2 linked regions of the Daphnia pulex genome follow. The protein of the gene in region 1 purifies or fractionates together with the protein of each later gene. This does not show direct contact. Links are inferred from orthologs where the notes say so. Each region holds a gene or a part of one and is shown in the gene's direction. Other genes may lie near its edges.

The links.
Region 2: the proteins of gem-associated protein 2-like (region 1) and U1 small nuclear ribonucleoprotein 70 kDa-like purify together in Homo sapiens (affinity purification with mass spectrometry; 5 studies listed by BioGRID and IntAct, counting the BioPlex papers as one, with this or other methods). This does not show direct contact. The link is inferred for Daphnia pulex from reciprocal best matches to the Homo sapiens genes GEMIN2 and SNRNP70.

Annotation. Positions count from the first base shown.
Region 1 is NC_060025.1:2,084,170-2,092,086, forward strand, and holds gem-associated protein 2-like, read left to right. Parts: upstream 1-4,267; 5' UTR 4,268-4,343; coding exon 4,344-4,447; intron 4,448-4,518; coding exon 4,519-4,603; intron 4,604-4,661; coding exon 4,662-4,817; intron 4,818-4,887; coding exon 4,888-4,998; intron 4,999-5,053; coding exon 5,054-5,332; 3' UTR 5,333-5,471; downstream 5,472-7,917. Other genes in the region: neurogenic locus notch homolog protein 3-like, read left to right, coding at 1-160, 232-426, 543-769, 892-1,141, 1,208-1,362, 1,425-1,616; endoplasmic reticulum protein SC65-like, read right to left, coding at 2,419-2,744, 2,804-2,929, 2,999-3,323, 3,388-3,440, 3,505-3,865. UniProt on the Homo sapiens protein: The SMN complex catalyzes the assembly of small nuclear ribonucleoproteins (snRNPs), the building blocks of the spliceosome, and thereby plays an important role in the splicing of cellular pre-mRNAs.
Region 2 is NC_060026.1:6,141,064-6,145,087, reverse strand, and holds the start of U1 small nuclear ribonucleoprotein 70 kDa-like, read left to right. Parts: upstream 1-1,224; 5' UTR 1,225-1,516; coding exon 1,517-1,660; intron 1,661-2,130; coding exon 2,131-2,248; intron 2,249-2,317; coding exon 2,318-2,382; intron 2,383-2,520; coding exon 2,521-2,583; intron 2,584-2,644; coding exon 2,645-2,726; intron 2,727-3,659; coding exon 3,660-3,740; intron 3,741-3,943; coding exon 3,944-4,024. UniProt on the Homo sapiens protein: Component of the spliceosomal U1 snRNP, which is essential for recognition of the pre-mRNA 5' splice-site and the subsequent assembly of the spliceosome. SNRNP70 binds to the loop I region of U1-snRNA.

The DNA of each region.
Region 1 (7,917 bases):
AACAGCGGCGGTTCCTCATCTTTCGGTGACGATCCTTGCTCAAACTTCAAATGCGGATCCAACGCCAACTGCTTGACCAGAAGCTTCCGGGCTGCTTGCGCTTGCCGTTCTGGTTACGAAGGTGATCCGTACACTGGATGTCGTCGCTCCGAGTGTGTCGGTAAGTTGCATTCCTCTTCGATTGCATCCAACAATTACAGCATCATGATGAAATTTGGCCGGTCAAAACAGAAAACACCGAATGCCCCAGCGATAAGGTCTGCCACAATTTCCGTTGCATCAATCCATGCTCGACCTCTTGCGGTGTCGACTCCGAATGTACCGTTCGCAATCACGTCACCGTTTGCCAGTGCCCCAAGGGATTCACCGGTGATCCATTCGTCTCCTGCACTCCATCATCCAGCTCCAATGTCGCTGGCCGCCAGAGTATGAATAACTTTCCATGACGTTACCTTTTTCTTTTGAAATTTAAAAAAGAAAATTTGGAATTGTCGTTAAACGAAACAAATAAATAATAAATAAATAATCGTTAAACCAAACAGGCAGCGATTATTGTACCCCTTCGCCGTGCGGAACCAACACCAAATGTCGTGTGGAGAACAACCGGGCTGTCTGCTCTTGTCAGGATGGATTCATGGGCAATCCTATCCAGGGATGTCGTCGTGAATGTGAAACCGACTTTGAATGCGACGCTAACCGAGCCTGCATGAACTTCCGTTGTCAAGATCCTTGCGGCACCTGCGGAACTTACGCCGACTGCAACGTCCGGGTAAGAAAATCAAAAAGAAATTTAACATTTTAAGTTTCTCTCTCGCATCAATCACCAAATTCCTCGCGCTCATGATTATGCAAATGATATGATTTTTCGATTTGTGTTGAAATTTCTTCCAGAACCATCGCGCAATCTGCTCTTGCCCGGCCAACTTCTTGGGCGATCCGTTCACCCGATGCTACCCCGAGTGCACGCAACACGAGGAGTGCCGAGCCACCCAAGCTTGCTTCAACCTCAAGTGTGTCGACCCTTGCACAGGCGCTTGCGGCATTGGCGCCGAGTGCCGTGTCGAGAGCCACAAGGCCATTTGCTCTTGCCCCAAGGGCCACACTGGACATCCATTCGACCGCTGCCGACCCTTCGACAAGAGTAAGAACAACGTAATCAAATCTCCCAAGGATCTTTTGCTAAAAAATACCCACCCGATATTTCTAGGCGATCTTTGTAACCCGAATCCTTGCGGCACCGATGCCGACTGCAAACCAGGCACGGACCGTCAAGGAAACGACAGGCCAGTTTGCTTCTGCCGCACCGGATATCTGGGAGATCCCCTCGTCGGTTGCCGAAAGGGCCAATGTATCGACCATGCCGTAAGGAAATCCGCTAAAATATTTTAAGAGAATGTTAGGACTAATTTTTAAAATGTGCCCAGGATTGTTCTGGCAATCAAGCTTGTTACGGTTACCAATGCGTTGATCCATGCACCAGCACTTCTTCATCCAGATCTTCCGTTTGCGGAATCGGAGCACGATGCGACGCACGAAACCACGGAGCCGTATGCTCATGTCCCGTCGGCCAGGACGGTGATCCTCTGGTTGAATGCCGTGCTTCCTTCAGGGGTTAAACAAAAGTTATTGCAAATTTTAGAAAAGAAAAACACACACACAAAAAAAAATCTTCCTTCTTCTTTCTCTGTCCCCACACATCCGGAGTTCTCTAGAACAGAATAAAAAAAAAAAAATTTACGAAGATGAAAAGTGAAACAATAAAGCAAACTCAGCAAACGCCTAGACGATGTTTTTCATCTCTCACGCTGTAAAAAAAAAGAATCGCTTTATTACTTGTCCAATTTTTCTTTACCTTTTGGCAGACCGGGAAGGGTGGGGCAACACGCCTTTTGTTTTAGGACAAAAACAACGGAAACTAATCGTAAGACAGATGTTGTTTTTTTTACTCCTTGTGTTTTTTTTATTCGGCTTTGTACCTAATTTAACGTGTCTCAAAACTGCTTATTTCCTGCGAATGGCATGATATTATACCTTTAATATTATACCTGAATGATTAACTCTGGCCTTTTTAAATACAACAAGAAAATTCGTTTTCTAAAATAAAATTTGTTTTTGATGATGTTGTATACTTATTATATCCGTGGCTGTATTCGTAGTAGAGACTCCAAACACAATCAAATGTTGATTCATATTATAAGGCAGATTTAAAGAACGAATTCTTTGGCACTGAAAGAATTTTAAAATTGAACAAATTTAAGGCACCACATGAATGGAAGTGATTGGTCAACTGGATTTCATATAAAAAAAGAGAAAACGTAGCTAACAGGTGAATACACCTAAAATTAATTAAAGAGATTGCCGTTGAGATAAAATGTTAGGAGACAATTAACAAGAAGCTGTCATGAAAAACCTGAAAAGTCATGTGCTATGGGGGATTTCATTGTCGCCGATGTTGTCGGTGGAAATGACTGCCAAGTCAGTACCGATAGGGATAACTGCCGGACCAGTGGCTTCTAAAATTTCGCCCTCGTCGAACTGGAAATTGTCCTCTATAAACTGAAGTAGGGCTTTCTCTCCTTGATCACGCTCGTAGTAGTTGACCGCTTCGGTTCTTGGAACGAACATGCCTTCGTGCACGTTTCCCAGCGTCATGTAATAGATCTTGTTTTCATTCATAGTCTCGTCATTAGGGAAAAATAGGAGATAGGAGGCAGCGGCCTGGCAAGCCTTTTCGATGTTGCCCACTGCAAGAAAACGAATGTTTTGATTTCTTATTTGTGATTGATTAAGAGAAACGTCTTACTTTTGAAATAGGCAAACTGCAAGTAATGGTAGTGACTGGGAAGGAGATCGTCATGTTTCTCGCCATTCAAGTTTCCCAGTTTGTTAGCACACTTTCGCTTACAGCGCAATGTGAAAGTGTAGTGATCTAAACAAATAATCAATCTCCATATTTATAGGTACCACTGAAACCTGCTTTGATGTTGTATAAACATACTTGAGATGCTGGAAATGAAATCAGGAAACCAGCCTTGATCAAAGGGACCCTCACAATGAGCTCTGCATTCTTCTTCTGCTTGCAAGTATTCTACCAAGGAAAGCTCCATGTTGGTTGTAGTTCTGTCATAGTCCTTCTTTTTGTAGGATTCACTGCCACGAATGTAGAATTCAACATAGGGTTTAGCTTCAAGGTTGATGACATAGTTGGGATCCACTTTCAATTCATTGATGAAAAATCTAAGATTTTCTTTCATCACAGTATGGTTTAAATTCATAGTTAAGAAAGTGTAGGCACAGGAAGCTGCCTTGATATTATCGTTGGTCTGAAATAATCCAAACACAAAAGTTTAAGTAAATAATAAAGAAAATGTGATGTAGGATACTAACCTTGAAGTAGCAAAGCTGAAGATAGTCATAAGGTTTCAAAGTGTCAAAATCATCTGTTTAAAATGTAAAAATTTTTAAAAACAGAAAACATATTTGATGAAGATAAGACTGTCTAACCTGCAACTTTACGGTCAACAATTTCTGCACGGTTCTTCAAAATATCTTTCTTGCATTTCAGTAAGCAAAGTGTCTTCTTTATCATCTTTTCCCATAATTTCATATCTTCCAACTGTGGAGACACCAACGGTTTGTCAAAAGATTCCTTGAGACATTCCAATCGACAGCCCACCACAGCATCTTTGTAAAAATGATAATCTTCAATGGCTTCGTTCATACGCGTGACGCACTCATCCCATTGCTCATTTAGATATGCTTCTACTGCCTGGCTGTAAAGAATATCGTACGAATTGGCAGGATCAGCTTTTGTAGCAGAGCAAAAGTAAACCAAGAGGGACAAAAAACAAGCTTTAAACAACATATTCTTACAATATATAATAAGGCTTGACAAAATAAAATAACATGGGCAGACTATGGAGCTATGGAGCAAGGGGAGGTTATCTTTGTGACTGCTCCACGTTAACAGTCAAGATGCCCTATGCAAAGAAGAGGGGTACATATATGCGTGAGAAAACATCTGTTAAAAACCTTAAACAAATTCTCGTGTTTCAATGTTTTGACTTAAAAGCAACATTGCCAATTATGAATAACGCAATCATGAAATTAATTAATCTTGAATTCTTTCAAATTTGAATTATATTTTTCAATTGCTGGTGGTTTTTTAACCGTGAATCGTGAGATGACAGGTAAGTGCAATAATTTAAATTTTTAAGTAAATAGAGCTGACAAATTAAAGTGATGTAGATGTCGCTTGCGTCTGAGCAAATAGTGGCGCAGAACCGCAGACGACAACTTAAACTTCAAAACAAACAACTGAAATCATTTGTGAAATTCCAGGCATGGATGAGTTCCTCCATAAAGCGCTTTACGTCGAGGAAACAGACGAGGATATCGATTTTGAGTCTGCGCCCAGTACAGGCCAAGAATACTTGAGAAGAGTTATGTAAGTCATGAAAACTTGTGTGTTAATAAATTGTATCACTATAAATTCATGCTGCCGGTTTATTTGGATAGAGTCGAATCGCGAAAATGCGAAGCGGTTGTAGTTGCCGATATGAAAGGAAAGAAGCTCAAAGCCCAAACTGTCAAATACACTACGGTAAGTTTCATTTTATTCAAATTTATTGATCTAGTCTGTCATTTCTGTGTAAATTCAGGACTCTGGCTGCCCACCTGCACCAGAAGTTTTCCTACCTTCAAAAGAATGGCAACAATTCCAAGTCTCTCAGTTTTCCTGCCTCAGGAGCCGCATGGCAAAACACTTGGCCAGGCTGAAAAAACAAGGAATTCAAATGAAACCGAATACAACCCTGGTAAGATCTTTGCTGTTGCAATGGCTTCCAGATAAATGAGTTTGGTCTTAATTATCCCTTCCAATTGTAGCCTGCTGGAGACAAAGAAAAGGAATGGTCAGTGTTGTGCTATGGTAACCCTGAGGATGAAAAGCCTTGTGGAACACCACCTATGCTCCCCATCATTTTATCCCTCAACCAGGTATATGAAAGTCACCTACTTCTCAGCATTCACACTATTATTTCTGTTGATGCAGTTTATGGTGGAGACTCTACTAGAGTACAACGTACAATGGCTGGAGGAGACGAATTTTACTCAGCAAAGGGGTCAGTGGCTCTACGCTCTACTTGCCAAATTGGAGAAACCTTTGAAACCCGAAATGTGTAGCCTCATCAGAACACTGGCACGTTTGTGTAGCACATTCCGAGTTCAATTAACCTCGGTCGACGACCCGCTGTTGGCCCAGCTCAATCTTTTCATATGTCTAGTCGGTCGTTACTTTGATCAAAGTGATTTAGCCGATCCGATGAAATGATTTAAACGCGAACAACGAACATTTCTGGTAACACATTTCCCGCATTGTATTTTTATTTTATTTTTCTTTTGCTCGCCATTTTGTAAGAAATAAAAAATGACTGATGGTAAATATAGTAAAGATCGTGGGTGAATAAGAACATGCATGTGGCTGATGGTATTACATTTAACACTTTTTTTGTTTTTTATTCGGGAGGGATAGGAAGAGGAGCTGAGTTGCATTCGTTTTTTTTTTCTCCCCCATTTTTCAGTGATGGCAAAAGTGGTGGGTGAAAATAAGAAGATTATAGCAGTTACATGTATAATAGCTGGAGGAAGAAAGAATTGAAGGGAAGGTCGGACAGAGATTTTAGAATTAGAATTTGCGTGTGTTTCTTCACAATTCCATTGATTCAACAGTATATAGAGATACGTTAGAAAAATTTGAACTTTCCCATCGATTGAACGAACCAACACAGGAAGGAAACGAAAAAGTGTAAGGAGAGGCGATGCCAATATATTTCTTATATATATTGTTTCTTTTTTATTCATTTTTTTGTTTTTTGTTTTGTTTTATTTACTGCATCCAATCTCCTCCGTTGTGTTCTCCTTCAGCAGATGAAACTGTCGCAAAAATTCAATATTATATCATGAAACATTTTTTCTTCTTTTTTAAATATTGAAAGTGTGAATGTGACATCTGGGATCGACGGCGGAGGAGAAACTCGACAAAGTAAAAACGGATCCGACAAAAAGGAAAAAAACAAAAAAACACGATGAAAAAAAGGGGGGATATAAGGATATGGCCAAATATACTTTGGATGGAGGGTAGAGGGGAGCATTGATTTTATGTGGGAGGGCAGACACTGGGGACAAGAGGTAGCAGCAGCAATAGCATAGATGGGCGGGCGTGGTGGTGAGGGCTGGTAAATAAAGAAAAAGAAATTTTCACGTCTTTTTTTCTTTTCTTCTTCTCATGTGAACGACACGCAGCAGTATATAAATGATGATGTTAAGACACAAACACACACACACACTCACATGTACAAATATATTTATTATTATATTTAAAATGAAATTTAAAACTCAAGTGAATTTATTTTCTTTTTAGTTTTTTTTTTATTTTGTGTGTATTTTTATTGCTTTTGACAGCCCGGAGTGTGTGTGTGTGTGTTGATGTATGTGTGTGTGTGATTAAATCTCTCCCTCATCTCTTATTATTACAACTTTTTTTTTTGCTCAATCATAAAAAAAGATCAAGCGGAAGAGCCGACCGTCTTTGATTATCTCCATGGAAGAATTTGTCCCGTCTAGTTAGAAAACCAAATTTCCCCCAAAAATCTTTCCTTATTTTGCATTCCTTCTTTCTTTACTTTCGTCTCTCAAAATGTCAAACATGGCGGTCGAGGGAGAACGTCGATCAAACACAGGCAAGTAGACATGTATATAGTGCACGTAAAGTACTGAAACAGTATAGTTATATAGTATAGAATAGTTAGAAATAGTAATCATCGTAGAATGATTGAAAAAACAAAAAAAAAAACGAAAAAATAAATGCCATAACACAAATCATTTATGACGAAGAAACCAACCAAATAAGAAAGAAGAGAGAAAAAAAAATCTTTAGGTGTGTCTGTGGTGGTGGTGGTGGTGGGGTAATTCAATCGAGAAATGTATCATTTGACAACCGATATATAAAAGAAAAGAGGGAAGAAGATACAAGTTTCAGCGGTATAGCACGGACACACATTAAGATAATAAATCAAATCATTATATATCAATAACACACACAACACCCCAGAGAAGGGGAAGAGAGAGAGAGATGTAATGTTGCGTGTAGGATTCTTTTTTTCTTTCTCAACTGGGGGATGGAGGATAGTAGACAACAGCAATGAAAGAAATAGAGAGAAAAGGAAAAAATTCGACAACACGAAGGGCGCAATATAATAACCGTATTTCGTTGTTTATGATTAATGACCGTGTGTGAATGCGTGTCTTGCATGGTAGGGTGTGTGTGTGTAGGTGTGTGCCTTTTTTTATTCGATAGTTATAAATTTTTGTTTTGTTTTCTTAAAATTTCGCGTGTTAGCTGCAATAATCCATCCACTCTTTTTTTTAAATTCATTTCGTAGTCGCTTCGATTACCCTACACACACACACACACACACAGAAACTCGGTGTCTTTTTCTTTTGCATAAGGCACAGGGCTCTAAGTAATCTAGAACCAAAAAAAAACATAACAAAAAATATGTTATCGTTTTTTTCTTAAGGGGGGAATTGTGTTGTTGTAGTCTATCCAATAATTTGATGAGGTTATTTGGGTAGATTTTAGTTTTCCCGTTCAAACACAGACGTGGGGGGGAAGAGAAAAAGAGACAATGAAGAGAAATTTCCCAACAAATCCAAATATATAGAATTAGAGGCAGTGAAAGAAAAAGAAATATATAAAAAAACATACACGAATTAAGGGCAGCAGCAATTTCAGCGAAAAATTAGGGCAGTCATTTTGTTTGTGGGGGTCGATGGGCTCAATATGTTTTGTTTGTTTTCTTTTAGTTTTGTTTCTCTCCAACACTGGAATATTTTTCCATTATTTTTCACATTTTT
Region 2 (4,024 bases), on another chromosome or scaffold:
GCGTTTTGGTGTAGCGGAATTGTGGATAATATATCCAAATTATTCAGTTTAGGAGGTTTTCCCATCTAGGTATCTCGGGCAATCTGCCTTAGTAGAACTATGGAAACATGTTCACAGATTGTATGGTTCCATTTTTGGGTTTATTTTTGTGGGCGGACCGGCGGAGTGCTTGCGGTCACGTGATGATGGAAACTCGATTCAGAATCATGTCGTGTGTATCAGACTTTGCCGCGTTTTGTTTGTTTATTTTTTTGCATGTGCTAACGATAAAAAGGCCTATCCTTAAGCTGAGTTAAGCATGAAGGACGAAACAGTATGAGTTTTTTGGCGCAAAAAATTTAGCTAACTAAAGTAAAATTTTGTTATGGTCTTAAAGTAGAGAGCTAGAGACACCGTCTCAACTTTCAGACGATAAATACATCAAGATTAAAGACATTCCTAATCCTAAGAAACCATTAATTTCAATTAATTCAATAATTGAATTCTACGCCATCAAGAGGCCAAATAATATCGAACAGTTTTTTTTTACTTTGTTTTGGTTTGTCTGCAAGTAGAAGTTGAAATCCAAGCTGATTTTTGAAAACCACAATAACATTAACCGAACTTAACCGCATCAGCAATGTATTTAAGAAAAGGCCGAAAAGGCTTTGTAAGAAAGAAAGGAACTAATTTATTTATTTACCAATATTTGGGACTTGGATGTAATTGAAAGATGCTGTACAACTTGAATCTTTTGAGATGCAGTAATGAAATAAATCTTACCGTATAAAATATGTTTACCATATATTAAACCTTGTCAAAAATGCACGTAGAAATTCCCCCTTAGTCTCATTTGAAACCTAATTATGTCTATTTTTATGTAGTATTTATAGTTTTTTTTCCTTAAAGAGCATTAATTTAAATGTTATAAGTTACCTACTACCTACTTACTAGACTCCACTTTCAAGAAATTTAATGAAAAATATCAGCGCCAAACCCATTAAAATCCAATAAGCAATAAGCAACAAGCAAACTAAAGGGCCGGGGGTCTAGTATTACGATTATAATATTTAAAACAATATAAAAAGTAAAAACTGATACAAATTGGTTGGGGCCAAAACGCTGTTTTTGACTGTAGTGACTATTTACTTTTATATATGTCTGATTCTGATCTGGTATTGATTCGTCTGCTTTTTTAAATTTAGTTTTATTTCTAGTTGCCAAATATATATTTTGTTGCTAGCCTATTTACGGCTCAAAAAAAATTTATGAAATTGGTCAGATAAATTAGAAATTACAAAATCCCGCTGTTTTTCCTAAAATCTCAATCCCATCTCATCCCACAATACCCGTTTTTTAAAACGGGTATTTTCAATTTTAAAAACTTGAAAATTTCAAAAGTGGGAAAATCCCACCAAAGACCAAAGTGGCAGCCCTGCCGAGCAATAGATAGACAGTAATGGACTAATGGCCGACAGCTAAGACGCTCGACCGAGAAGCTTTTTGAAAGGTCCATGCTCATTGAAATATTTGTGAAATGACGCAGTTTTTGCCTCCAAATCTTTTGGCTCTTTTTGCGCCACGCGATCCCCCTCCATTTTTACCACCACCTGATAAATTGACTCATGAAAAAAAAAGAACGCCATACATTGGTATAGCGCAGTATACAAATCTGTTTGAGGTTAGTATTTGATTCCATTAAAAATTAAAAATTGATATAGTAGTCAAGGTAAGTATTGCAATTTGATCTAATTTGATTGATTTGGGAAGTAATGTATGTCTTAATTTACTAATGCACGGGTCCCAATCCCAATTTATGGAACAGTTTTGGTTCATTTATTCATTCTCCTCTAGATGTGTCGATGAGAATCCCAAGTTTTCATGTGTGACATGTGAGATGCAAAATATTTTGTGAAAATGTTGTGAAAGTGTCTTAATTTTCTGGAAGCACAGTGTTTCCAGCTGAGCCTTTTATCAGGTTGACAATTTAATGTTAGCATATGTCTGAGGGGTGTAAAGTAGTCATTGTTTCACAAAGTTTTAAATGAGAGATGTGGAACGAAACATTGCATACTAGAAGCATTCTGATGAACTAAGTACTGAGCTTTCAAACATAACGAAATTTTTAATATCATTTTATATTCTTAACAGGATCCTAAAGATACACCCCCTCCTACGCGAGCAGAAACACGGGATGAACGGCGCGAAAGAAAACGTCGCGAAAAGGCAGAACAAGTTGCCTATAAACTTGAACAGGAAATTGCAATGTGTAAGTTCTAATTTTTGGTGTGTTTCTACAATTTCTTTTATCAATTTCCCTTTTCTCTGGCATTCATAGGGGATCCACACAGTAATGGTGTTTCTACCATGGACCCCTTCAAAACGCTGTTCGTTGCTCGCATTGTAAGTGTCAATACTCATACTATAATTTTTTTTTCTCATCACTTTTATTTTATTTCGAGCTTAATGAATAATGAGTGCTAAGTTATAACTAGTAATCCGCATGAATGAAACGATAATTCTTGAAACATTTTCTCTCAGAATTTTGATACTTCGGAATCTAAATTGCGCAGGGAGTTTGAAGTGTACGGAGTTGTTCGGAAGGTAACTTACAAGCACCATGTGAAATTTAATCACACGCTTACCACGCTTTTTAATGTTACAGATTGTGTTGGTGCATGACAAGAGGACTAGTAAGCCACGCGGTTATGCATTCATCGAGTATGAACATGAGCGAGACATGCATTGTAAGTATTTCTTTTCTATTATACCTAAGTCGTGTGGTAACTGAGGGTAGTGGGCTAATTAGTAAGGCCTGCGATAGCTTTCACTGTTCAATTAATCGTCGCACCACCAATTTGTATGATGATGAAAGGGGTGGGGGTGAGGTGGGGAAAATCTGTGATTGATTTGTACCTTAAAGTTTTCCTATATTTCATTTTGTCGTTTCCGGTCACAGTCGCGGCCTCCGACTATTTGGACGGTCATGTGGCCTTTGTCGCTTTTTGTCTCTTGATGCTAGGTTTGTATGGTCAATTGGTAAGGTTTCGTTTGGTTAAAGTTAAACCAAAATCCCTTTGAAATCGACTGCAGGTTCAAATTAGCTTCAAAGAAAGTATCTTTTCGTTTTCACCCTCCCTTCCCCTTGATGGTAGTAAGTATCCTGGTAAGTCGGTTACTAGGCTTTCTAGCGCCACTAAAAATTAGGGCCATTTCAATTCGATCAGATTCTTCGAGTGCTGCTGCGCGTTAAGAGGATTCACAGGTAAAGATGGGGACAGCTTGAAGAGGGAATGGATCTGCTTCTGTGATTGGCAACATTTGATCGCTTATTAATAGATCTGGATGTTACGTGAACATAGCCGTAATCTGGTAAACGGCCGTGGCGTTGGTTTTTTATGCATTTTCCAAGTGTTATGATTGGTCATACTTGAAATCATTGCATTTTTCGTTATTTGTTAATTCACGGTAAATATTTTTCGAAATTGCTGGGAGGGGTAGGTAATGGAGATCCTTCGGTAGGTGATATTAGGTTTGTGATACTAATTGTTGGAACTCTCCTTCTCCATGTTATACACGCTGAATTTTTCGTCTTCTCTGCCTGCTGTACTACCCGTATTTACGATTTGTTCGTTTTGCCGACGGCGCCGAAATACTGGTTTGTTGTTTTAAAATACCAGCTGCGTACAAACACGCCGACGGAAAGAAAATAGACGGCCGCAGAGTTCTTGTAGACGTAGAAAGGGCAAGGACTGTCAAAGGTAATTATTTTAATTAAATAAGTTTTATGTTTATAGTTTGCTGCCCTTTTTTTCGAAGGCAAATTTTAAAATTTGTTTTGAAAATCCATAGGTTTTTTATTTTGATTAATCAGTGTAAATAAGTGCACAAAATTTTTTTCTTCTTGTTAGATATTATAATCATGCCGCCATGGTTTCTAAGTACCTAAACTATTGCATTCCAGGTTGGCTTCCTCGCCGTTTGGGTGGAGGCTTGGGTGGGACTCGTCGTGGAGGACCAGATGTAAACGTAAAACATTCAGGAC